3 linked regions of the Cricetulus griseus genome follow. The protein of the gene in region 1 interacts with the protein of each later gene in a pairwise test. Links are inferred from orthologs where the notes say so. Each region holds a gene or a part of one and is shown on either strand. Other genes may lie near its edges.

Region 1 (3,500 bases):
CTGAGTGAGACCGCACCATGCAAGGAAGCTGCCACTCAGGACCAGGACCTCAGGTTTTGCTGCTCTCATAGGAAGGACTTCCCCTCTGCTGGCTTCCAAGTGTGTCCAGGAACATTTGGCCTGCATTAAAAGACATGTCTCTGGATTGACTTTGTAACAAGAGCAGTTACAAAGCAGGGACCCTCCCCCCCCAAAAAAGGAAAGGAGCCAAGAGAACACAAGGATGCAGAAAAGACTCGCCTATTGGCGTAGGAAGCTCAAGAAGTGTAAGAAAGCCAAAAGCCAGCATGAAATGTGGGAATATCCTGGCAATGTGTGATTAGGTGAGTCGCACAAACCAGAAAGTAGTTCCTTGAAAAAAAGGGAAGAAGGCTGGGAGCTGGTGCAATGACTCTTGCAGAGGACTCAGGTTCAGTTCCCAGCCCCGACATGGTGGCGTACAATTTCCTGTAACTCCAGTTCTAGGGAATCTGCTGCCCTCTTGTGACCTCTGGGGCAGGGAGCACACAACTCTAATCACAGCACTCAGAAGGCAGGGGCAGGTGGATTTCTGAGTTTGAAGCCAGCTTGGTCTACATAGAGAGTTCCAGGCCAGCCAGAGCTACATAAGTAAAATCCCGTCTCAATTGTGAAGGAATGGGACTAGTGTTCACCAGAGTGTCCGTCCTATCAGTGAGGTGACCCTGAGGCCATTTAACTTGTTCAGCCTGAGTTTCCTCATCTGTGGGACAAGGTAGGTTACCCCTGACAGCACCAGAACCCAGGCATGCAGAGGCCTGATGCAGAGGCCACCTATCAGCTTCAAGGCTGCTACCATTTGCTCCCGTGGCCCAGGAGTTCTGGGAGTCAACCATATTCACCAATAGGCATGAAGGGCTGAGAGGCAGGGCTGGGTCTGGACATCCCCACGGCATTGACTGCGTAGACACGCATCTCATAGGCTACACCCTCGATCATGCGCCTCGCCTCGTGGCTCAGCTCCCGCAGCAAATCAAAGTTGAGCCTCATCCACCTATAGCTCTTCTTCTTCTTGCGCTCCAGGATGTATCCTGAGAGAGGAGATGAGAGCTGGGTCTGTGCCCAGTCACTAGGTGACAGCTGCCTACGCTTGTCTGCATGCCCTGGCACTCACCCAGGACCGGCTGTCCACCGTCGTAGGCAGGTGGCTCCCACCGCACAGTGCAGGAGTCCTCGCCCACATTGCTGACCTTGGGGGCTGCAGGAGCGTCTGGCACATCTTGACGAGGAAGAGACACTGTGTCAGCTATGTCCAGCTCAGGGTCTAACAACATTGCTCACCTCTTCTTCTCGCCACCCCAACCAGTAACAGCCATCTGCTCCCACCACCGCCAGAGTCAAAGCAATGCAGAATCTATCATGCTACCATCTTACCACTTATGGCTCCACACTGTCTGTTTTCACCTCGTGTATCAGCTGCGATCGGCTACATCCTTCTGACCCCACTCAGCCCTCCAGAACACAGTGATTGCCCCACGCCATTTCTCCCAGAGAACTATCAATGTCACAGATAGTGACATTTCTACACACCCATCTCCCCTTCAAGCAGGGCTCCTCTCAGGCATAAAAAAGGTTCCAGTCATCACCATGGCCTGCTTTAGAGTGCCCTGTGATAACTGTTGAGTAAGTGAGTGAATGGATGGACCCTCCCTGGTGTCCTGTGTTCTCCAGCCTGGACCTCCAGTTGCCTCACCGATGACCTTGACTGTGAGGTTGACCTGGTCCTCGCCCACGGGGTTCTTTACTGTGACAGTGTAGACACCTTCATCTTCCTTCTCTGCTCCTTCAACCGTGAAGACACTGCGGTCCTTAGTGGTCTCCACACGGACCCGGCCCTCAGTCTCACACAACAGCTGAAAAGGAGAGAGAGTTGGGAAAAAGGCCCAAGTCAGACATGAACCTGTACGGTAGCCATCAGCCCTTCAATGAGAGGGGAGTTCAATTCAGGGTCTGTTGGAAGTAGTGGGGGCAGAGCCCGGGTGGAAACTGCACCGTGTGAGTGACTAGTCAAAATTTTCAATATAGTGCTGGGTGTTGGTAGCACACGTCTTTAATCCCAGCACTTGGGAGGCAGAGGCACGTGCATCTCTGTGAGTTTGAGGCCAGCCTGGTCTCCAGAGTGAGTTCCAGGATAGGCTCCAAAGCAATACAGAGAAACCCTGTCTCAAAAAACAAACAAGCAAACTAAATAAATAAATAAAATCAATATGGCAAGACACAGGCAAGGGGCTTAGACTGATCTAGTTTCATCATGGAAACTAGATTCTGTGTGCCTCACTTTTCCTGTCTGTCAAATGGGAAGCAGGTGACCCCACAAAGCTATTGTGAGGCTCCAGAAAGACCCCAGCTATTAAGACCTTCAGAAAAGCCAGCAGGGGAACAGAGGAGAAAAGGCATGACTGGGCTGTGCCAGGCAGCTGCACTTGCTGCAGAGAGCCAGGGGTGCTGTGCAGCTTGTTGGGGAGGAAAGCAACCAGTGGTCTTACCCAGCACTGGACTCTGCATGCCAAGATAACAAGCTGCCTGGCAAGTGTCCACTGGAGCACTAGCACAACTGTCCTGGGGTAAGTGCTGCTCTCTGTTAGCATATGAGGCCTGCTCCACAGAAGGGAATGCCATGCCTGGTACTGTAATGCTGGTCAGAAGCCCATGGCTGAGGAGGGCATGGGCCCTAGAGTTAAGCCAGCCTGCTGTTGTCATTTGTTAAATGGTCATGTTGTCAAATTGTCTTATGTTTCTACCCACAGACCTGGCCAGTCTCAACCTTAGTCAAGAAGCTTCTGTCTGCCTCGGACAGCAAGCAGTCAGATGGAGATGCATAAGAGTCAGTGCTGAGAACAAGACAGACATCTCTGTCAACCGTGCCGCCCCTCCCACAGCTCAGGAACCTCTTGGCGGGCAAGGCAGAAAGAACATAAGAGCCAGAGGATAGGGAGGAATGTGTGAAACGCCATCTTCTGGCCATGCCGCCCATAGCAATCAGGAGTTCTCAGCAGCTATGGTTGTCTGCACTTGATGAAGCCAGCTTGGGGGGGGCGGGGGCAGGTAGGCTGCCTGTGCTCCTGTGGATAGGCTGTGGCTGCCTGTGCTCCCGTGGGTGGCCCCACACCTATGTGTTTATTGGCAGCACTAATTGAACTTAGTGGGTTAGAGGGAAAAAAAAGCACAGAAAAAACATCTGAGCACTCTTGAGGCAGAAGTGAGTGGATGTCTGAGTTTTGAGGCCAGCCTGGTCCACATAAGGAGTTCCAGGTCAGCCAGGACTCCATAATGAGACCCAGTATAGAAGAAGAAAAAGAGGAGTTGGGAATAATGGGAGTTGGAGGGGTAAAATGGTGGATATGCTCATGTTTCATTGTATATATGTATGAAATTCTCAAGAACAAGGAAAAATTATTAATAAAAAGAAGAAAGGCAGGGATCCAGGAATCATCCCAGTTACAATGGCTTCCTAGCAAAGTCAAGGACACCAAGACCTTGGT
Region 2 (2,984 bases), about 21 Mb from region 1:
CCGATTTAAAGTAAACGTTGACTTTCTTTGTTACCAAAATGTGTGTTTTCTATAAAGTTTTGAAATATGTAAGATGTGGCAAAAAACAATTTGCAATACCAAATATAGCAACTAACTGTAGATGATTGTATTACCCACCTTCTTTGCTTACTTCTAAAGAAGTAAACTAAACAACTAAACCACAGAACTAATCTTTGCTTCTAAGATTCAAAATATATTCATGATTTTACCCCAAAAGATAAAATCAAAATGTAGTGCTCTAACTCCTAGCTCAATGCCACATGAATTTATCTGTCAAGCTTGGTGTTGCTATAATATGATAACACCAGGGTACCAGAACAAATATCTTCCCCATCCCAGGCCTAGGGTGACCAAGCAAAGGCCTTCCCCATCTTGGGCCTAGGGTACGAGACACCTCCTTTCCCATCCCAGGTCCAGGGTACTGGAACAAAAGCCTTTCCCACCCCAGGACTACTCCCACAAGAAAGAAGAGAGGCTTCTGTAGGTTGCAAGTCCTCATCTGATTTATTTATAAAGCAATAAATATTTGAAGCACAAACAAACTGCACGTGTGTAAACAAACTGTACAATGACTGATGAGAGATGGGGGAGCGGGGCTCAGAGGATTCCAAGAAGCACAATACCACCATCCTGAATGTAAGGTAGACTAAGAAAGAGACATCTTAGAAGCACTTGCGATGGACAATGGATGGGCCTGCCTCGTCATACTCTTGCTTGCTGATCCACATTTGTTGGAAGGTGGACAGAGAGGCCAGAATAGAGCCCCCAATCCACACAGAGTATTTACGCTCAGGGGGAGCAATAATCTGCAGAAAGAAAACAAAACCATCAGTCTGTTTTGAAGTTCCCAACAACGGCGCAGGCAATAGATTTGGAATATTCACAGAAAAAGCATCACAGATTAACTGACAATCAATAATACAGGAGATTTCATACCATAAAGCAATGTAGCCAATTGGGTTTTGCAAACTTCCCTGCATTTCATCATGTCCCTACTTCTTTACATTAGAGAATAATATGGCAAAAGTCTAAATGCATGCTCAAAACCTGGGGCCTTTTAAATGTGTAGGTAAGTTTAGTTATTTCTCTCCTCTGTGTTTCAAATATTTACTTATATTCACTATTTAGAAGCAGTCTTAAAAAGTCATATCTTGGGGAAACGTGCTAGAAAAAAAATCAGGAAAAGTATTAGCACTAAGCAGAAAACTTTGTAGAAGTTAAGAAGCAAAGATTCCAAAGTAGGAAGTTTGGCTTAGAATACCAAGATTTGCCTTTGCCCTCCCACTCACAAACGCTCTCTACCTTAATCTTCATGGTGCTGGGAGCCAGTGCAGTGATTTCCTTTTGCATACGATCAGCAATACCAGGGTACATAGTGGTGCCTCCAGATAGGACATTGTTGGCATATAGGTCCTTGCGGATATCGATGTCACACTTCATGATGCTATTGTAAGTAGTTTCATGGATGCCAGCAGATTCCATACCTAGGAACAAGTTCTTTTTAAAGTATTCACAGCACATTCAGGCAGGGGTGGAGGGGACAGAGGACAGAATTCTTCCGTGTTGGTGAGCTGCCACCATTTGTATCTAAAACATATGCTCCCCCACAACACGCTGCTGGGAACAGGTGGGACAAAGGTCTCTAAAATGTGCTAATAGATAATTCAGTACAGTCTGCCAAGATAGACAACTGTGTTCAGTGCCTGTTTGGCATGAACACATCCTGCAGTCATCAGGAGTATGGAGATATATTGTAAAAAGATTCACACGTGTTTAAGTGAAAATTAGCCTATTTTGTTTTGTTTTAAGATGAATCTCTGTAGCCCAGGCTAGCCTTGAACTCAAGGCAATCCTCCTGCCTCAGTTTCTGAGCACTGGGATTGCAAGTGTGAGCTACCACACTTAAATTATGGACTAAAATCAGATTCCAGCTTCTTCTGGAAACAAGTGTGTAGGAAAGATATTTGGTGACATCAAACGTCCAGTTACCGTTGTGATTGCATTTGATGGTGAATAACTTAAAGTCTAGTCTATGGGTAATGGAACTTATTAGAATAAATTGGCTTTCTTGAATAATCAGTCATGCGCTATTCAGTGACTGCTGCATCTCACTCTCTACTATGAGGTAAACTTGGTGTAACATTATCAGTCATTTTTCACTAGAGCAGCTAGTTCTGTCTTTCTCTTTACTTAAAAGCAATACTGAGCTTGGTGAGATGCCAGACTTTGACTCAAGAACCCTGCTGTCCTTTTAATTAAAATGGGCATTACTCTGGGAGAGTCCAGAATTTCTAGAGAAGCTGAGCTTCAACACCAGAATGCATCTCTTACCAATGAAAGAAGGCTGGAAGAGTGTCTCTGGACAGCGGAAACGCTCGTTGCCAATGGTGATGACCTGGCCATCAGGCAGTTCATAGCTCTTCTCCAGAGAGGAGGAAGAGGCAGCTGTAGCCATCTCATTCTCAAAGTCCAGGGCGACGTAACACAGTTTTTCCTTAATGTCACGCACGATTTCACGTTCAGCTGCAGAGATAAAGGGCTTCATAGTCAAGCTTGGAAGAAGAAATCAATTGCAGGAAAGTAGGTGGGTCCATCGAGGAAGCAAAACCAACAGATGTAGACTGTCCAGAGAAGACATATACACAACACACACACACACACACACACACACACACACACACACACACACACACAGACACTCACCAGTGGTGACAAAGGAGTACCCGCGCTCAGTGAGGATCTTCATGAGGTAGTCAGTGAGATCCCGACCAGCTAGATCCAGACGCATGATGGCATGGGGTAAGGCATAACCCTCATAGATGGGGACATTGTGAGTTACACCATCACCAGAGTCCAGAACAATGCCTGTTAGAAAAGATGGATGAGAAAGGGATGAAGCACTGAGGATGCTTCAGCCATAGTTAAACCTGCTTCTGTTTGGGTTTGAGAAACAAGTCAAGATA
Region 3 (2,845 bases), on another chromosome or scaffold:
CGGGAACAGTATGAAGAGGAGACAGAGGCCAAGGCTGAGCTACAGCGTGTCCTGTCCAAGGCCAACTCAGAGGTGGCCCAGTGGAGGACCAAGTATGAGACGGACGCCATACAGAGGACTGAGGAACTGGAGGAAGCCAAGTGAGTCCTGGGCATCCAGCCCAGCCTGATGCTCAGTAGACCCCACGTGGGGGACACTTAGATAGAATGTGACAGCGCAGGAGGGCCCTGCCCCAGCCCCACCTCCTGCTCCTCTCGGGGAAGCTTTTTGCTCGCGTTATGTTTCTCATCCGAATATAAGACGAACAAAAGGTTTGTCTGAGGGCTGAGTGCTCCCACCTGGGGTAGGGTGCCGTAGGGAATGGTGGCTGCAGCCAAGAAGGTTGTAGCCTCATGGTCTTCAAGGTGTTCTATGTCTTCTTGCTCAGCTACTAAGATCTGCCTGCCAAGTGCTGGGCCTCTGGAGCCTGTCTGCAGGCTTTTCTGGATGCTTCTTTTGAAAGACTCACATGTTTTCCTCTTGTCCAAATCTACCTCCTCCATTCTCCCCCTCCCTTTCTACCCTGCCACCCTTCCTCCTTCCCCCGCTGCAGGAAGAAGCTGGCCCAGAGGCTTCAGGATGCAGAGGAGGCTGTGGAGGCCGTCAATGCCAAGTGTTCCTCACTGGAGAAGACCAAACACAGGCTGCAGAACGAGATCGAGGACCTGATGGTGGACGTGGAGCGCTCCAATGCCGCCGCCGCAGCCCTGGACAAGAAGCAGAGGAACTTCGACAAGGTGGGCTCATGGTGGAGCTGTGGACAGGGTGCGCAGTGATGGCAGGGGTCAGTGCCAGCTCAAGCCAGAGCGTTCTCCTTGGAGGCGTGGGGGGGGCGGGGCCTGGGGCAGCTCTGGACCACGTGCCCCTCCCCTGCAGATCCTGGCAGAGTGGAAGCAGAAGTATGAGGAGTCCCAGTCAGAGCTGGAGTCTTCCCAGAAGGAGGCGCGCTCCCTGAGCACAGAGCTCTTCAAGCTCAAGAATGCCTATGAGGAGTCATTGGAACACCTGGAGACCTTCAAGCGGGAGAACAAGAACCTTCAGGGTGTGTGAGCCGAAGGGCAGGGAAGGGCCATAGGGACAGGGAAGTCTCACAGGGCCAGGGAAGGGCCATGCCCCATGTCTGAGGGCCCCAACTGCAGTCCAGGCAAAGAAACGTGCCCCATACGAGACCACAGAAACCCCAGACTGAGTCACTATGTGTCCCCCACAGAGGAGATCTCAGATCTGACTGAGCAGCTGGGCTCCACTGGGAAGAGCATCCATGAGCTGGAGAAGATCCGAAAACAGCTGGAGGCTGAGAAGCTGGAGCTGCAGTCTGCCCTGGAGGAGGCTGAGGTAGGCGTGCAGGAGGGAGCAGGGCTGGGGCAGGGAATGAGATCTAGATTTGGTCCCTGCTCTCATCTCCCCTTAGTCTGGTTTCCTCCTCCCTGGCTCATTGCCAGGGCCTAGGCCAGTGCTGGACACATAGGAGACACCCAGCAAACATTTGTCAATGGATGAGTTCAGGGTCACCTAGCCCCCTCCATGGGAGCATTGCATTAGTAGTACCTGAGAGGCATCCTTGTTTCCACTCAGCCCCTTTCCACCTCTGCATGCCTGGTTTTTTGGTTTTTTTTTTTTTTCACTCTGTGCTTGATTGCCTGTTTCCTTGGCAACACTTTTCATTTTCCTCTTTGTCTTCAACTCTGGCTCTCCCCGCTGGGAGTCTGCATCACCTTTTCTTCAGCTTGCTTTCATTTATCTTATGCACGCCCTCTCCTTTCTTCCTCTGCACACTGATTCCTGAGCCATGCACACCATTCCCGAACTCTCTCTGTATCATGTTTTTTAGACAGACCCCTGCTTCTGCCCTGGACTCTGACTATATGCCCGCAAAACCCTTTCCCCACACCCTTTCCAGGCCTCCCTGGAGCACGAGGAGGGCAAGATCCTCCGGGCTCAGCTGGAGTTCAACCAGATCAAGGCAGAGATCGAAAGGAAGCTGGCAGAGAAGGACGAGGAGATGGAGCAGGCCAAGCGCAACCACCTGCGGGTGGTGGACTCCCTGCAGACCTCCCTGGATGCAGAGACTCGCAGCCGCAATGAGGCCCTGCGGGTGAAGAAGAAGATGGAGGGCGACCTCAATGAGATGGAGATCCAGCTCAGCCATGCCAACCGCATGGCTGCCGAGGCCCAGAAACAAGTGAAGAGCCTCCAGAGTCTGCTGAAGGTACTCAGAGACTTCCGGAAACGGTGTCACCTCACCCAGAGAGGGGACTAGCTTCTATATGGGCTAATTAGATGGTAGAGGCACTATCTGTCTCTTGTCACACAGTCATTGTAGAGATATCTGAGAGGTCAATCCTGAGCCACCACAATGGACTGCCCACCCACACCCCAGTTCTATGCAACAGCCTTGCGAAGGCACCAAGGCCAGATTTCTAGCTTATGCTCATTTTGCGGATCCTCAGGACACTCAAATCCAGCTGGATGACGCCGTCCGCGCCAATGACGACCTGAAGGAGAACATTGCCATCGTGGAGAGGCGCAACAACTTGCTGCAGGCGGAGCTGGAGGAGCTGCGGGCTGTAGTGGAGCAGACAGAGCGGTCCCGGAAGCTGGCGGAGCAGGAGCTGATTGAGACCAGTGAGCGGGTGCAGCTGCTGCACTCTCAGGTGATGGGGTGCCCTGCGCATTCCTGAGCTCAGCGGGCAACAGGGGAAAGAGCCCCTCGGAGATGCCCAGACTGTTTCCTGCCCTGCCACTCTCCTCCCAGAACACCAGCCTCATCAACCAGAAGAAGAAGATGGACGCGGACCTGTCCCAG

Evidence for each region.
Region 2: the proteins of Mybpc3 (region 1) and Actc1 interact in a two-hybrid assay, tested with the Homo sapiens proteins (2 studies listed by IntAct). The link is inferred for Cricetulus griseus from reciprocal best matches to the Homo sapiens genes MYBPC3 and ACTC1.
Region 3: the proteins of Mybpc3 (region 1) and myosin-7 interact in a two-hybrid assay, tested with the Homo sapiens proteins (2 studies listed by IntAct). The link is inferred for Cricetulus griseus from reciprocal best matches to the Homo sapiens genes MYBPC3 and MYH7.

The regions. Positions count from the first base shown.
Region 1 is NC_048599.1:85,626,775-85,630,274, forward strand, and holds part of Mybpc3 (myosin-binding protein C, cardiac-type), read right to left. Parts: intron 1,872-3,500; coding exon 1,712-1,871; intron 1,238-1,711; coding exon 1,133-1,237; intron 1,050-1,132; coding exon 861-1,049; intron 1-860. UniProt on the Homo sapiens protein: Thick filament-associated protein located in the crossbridge region of vertebrate striated muscle a bands. In vitro it binds MHC, F-actin and native thin filaments, and modifies the activity of actin-activated myosin ATPase.
Region 2 is NC_048599.1:64,430,590-64,433,573, reverse strand, and holds the end of Actc1 (actin, alpha cardiac muscle 1), read right to left. Parts: intron 2,887-2,984; coding exon 2,725-2,886; intron 2,545-2,724; coding exon 2,353-2,544; intron 1,506-2,352; coding exon 1,324-1,505; intron 828-1,323; coding exon 684-827; 3' UTR 501-683; downstream 1-500. UniProt on the Homo sapiens protein: Actins are highly conserved proteins that are involved in various types of cell motility and are ubiquitously expressed in all eukaryotic cells.
Region 3 is NW_023276807.1:210,171,837-210,174,681, reverse strand, and holds part of myosin-7, read left to right. Parts: coding exon 1-140; intron 141-592; coding exon 593-776; intron 777-915; coding exon 916-1,081; intron 1,082-1,249; coding exon 1,250-1,374; intron 1,375-1,939; coding exon 1,940-2,248; intron 2,249-2,489; coding exon 2,490-2,693; intron 2,694-2,794; coding exon 2,795-2,845. UniProt on the Homo sapiens protein: Myosins are actin-based motor molecules with ATPase activity essential for muscle contraction. Forms regular bipolar thick filaments that, together with actin thin filaments, constitute the fundamental contractile unit of skeletal and cardiac muscle.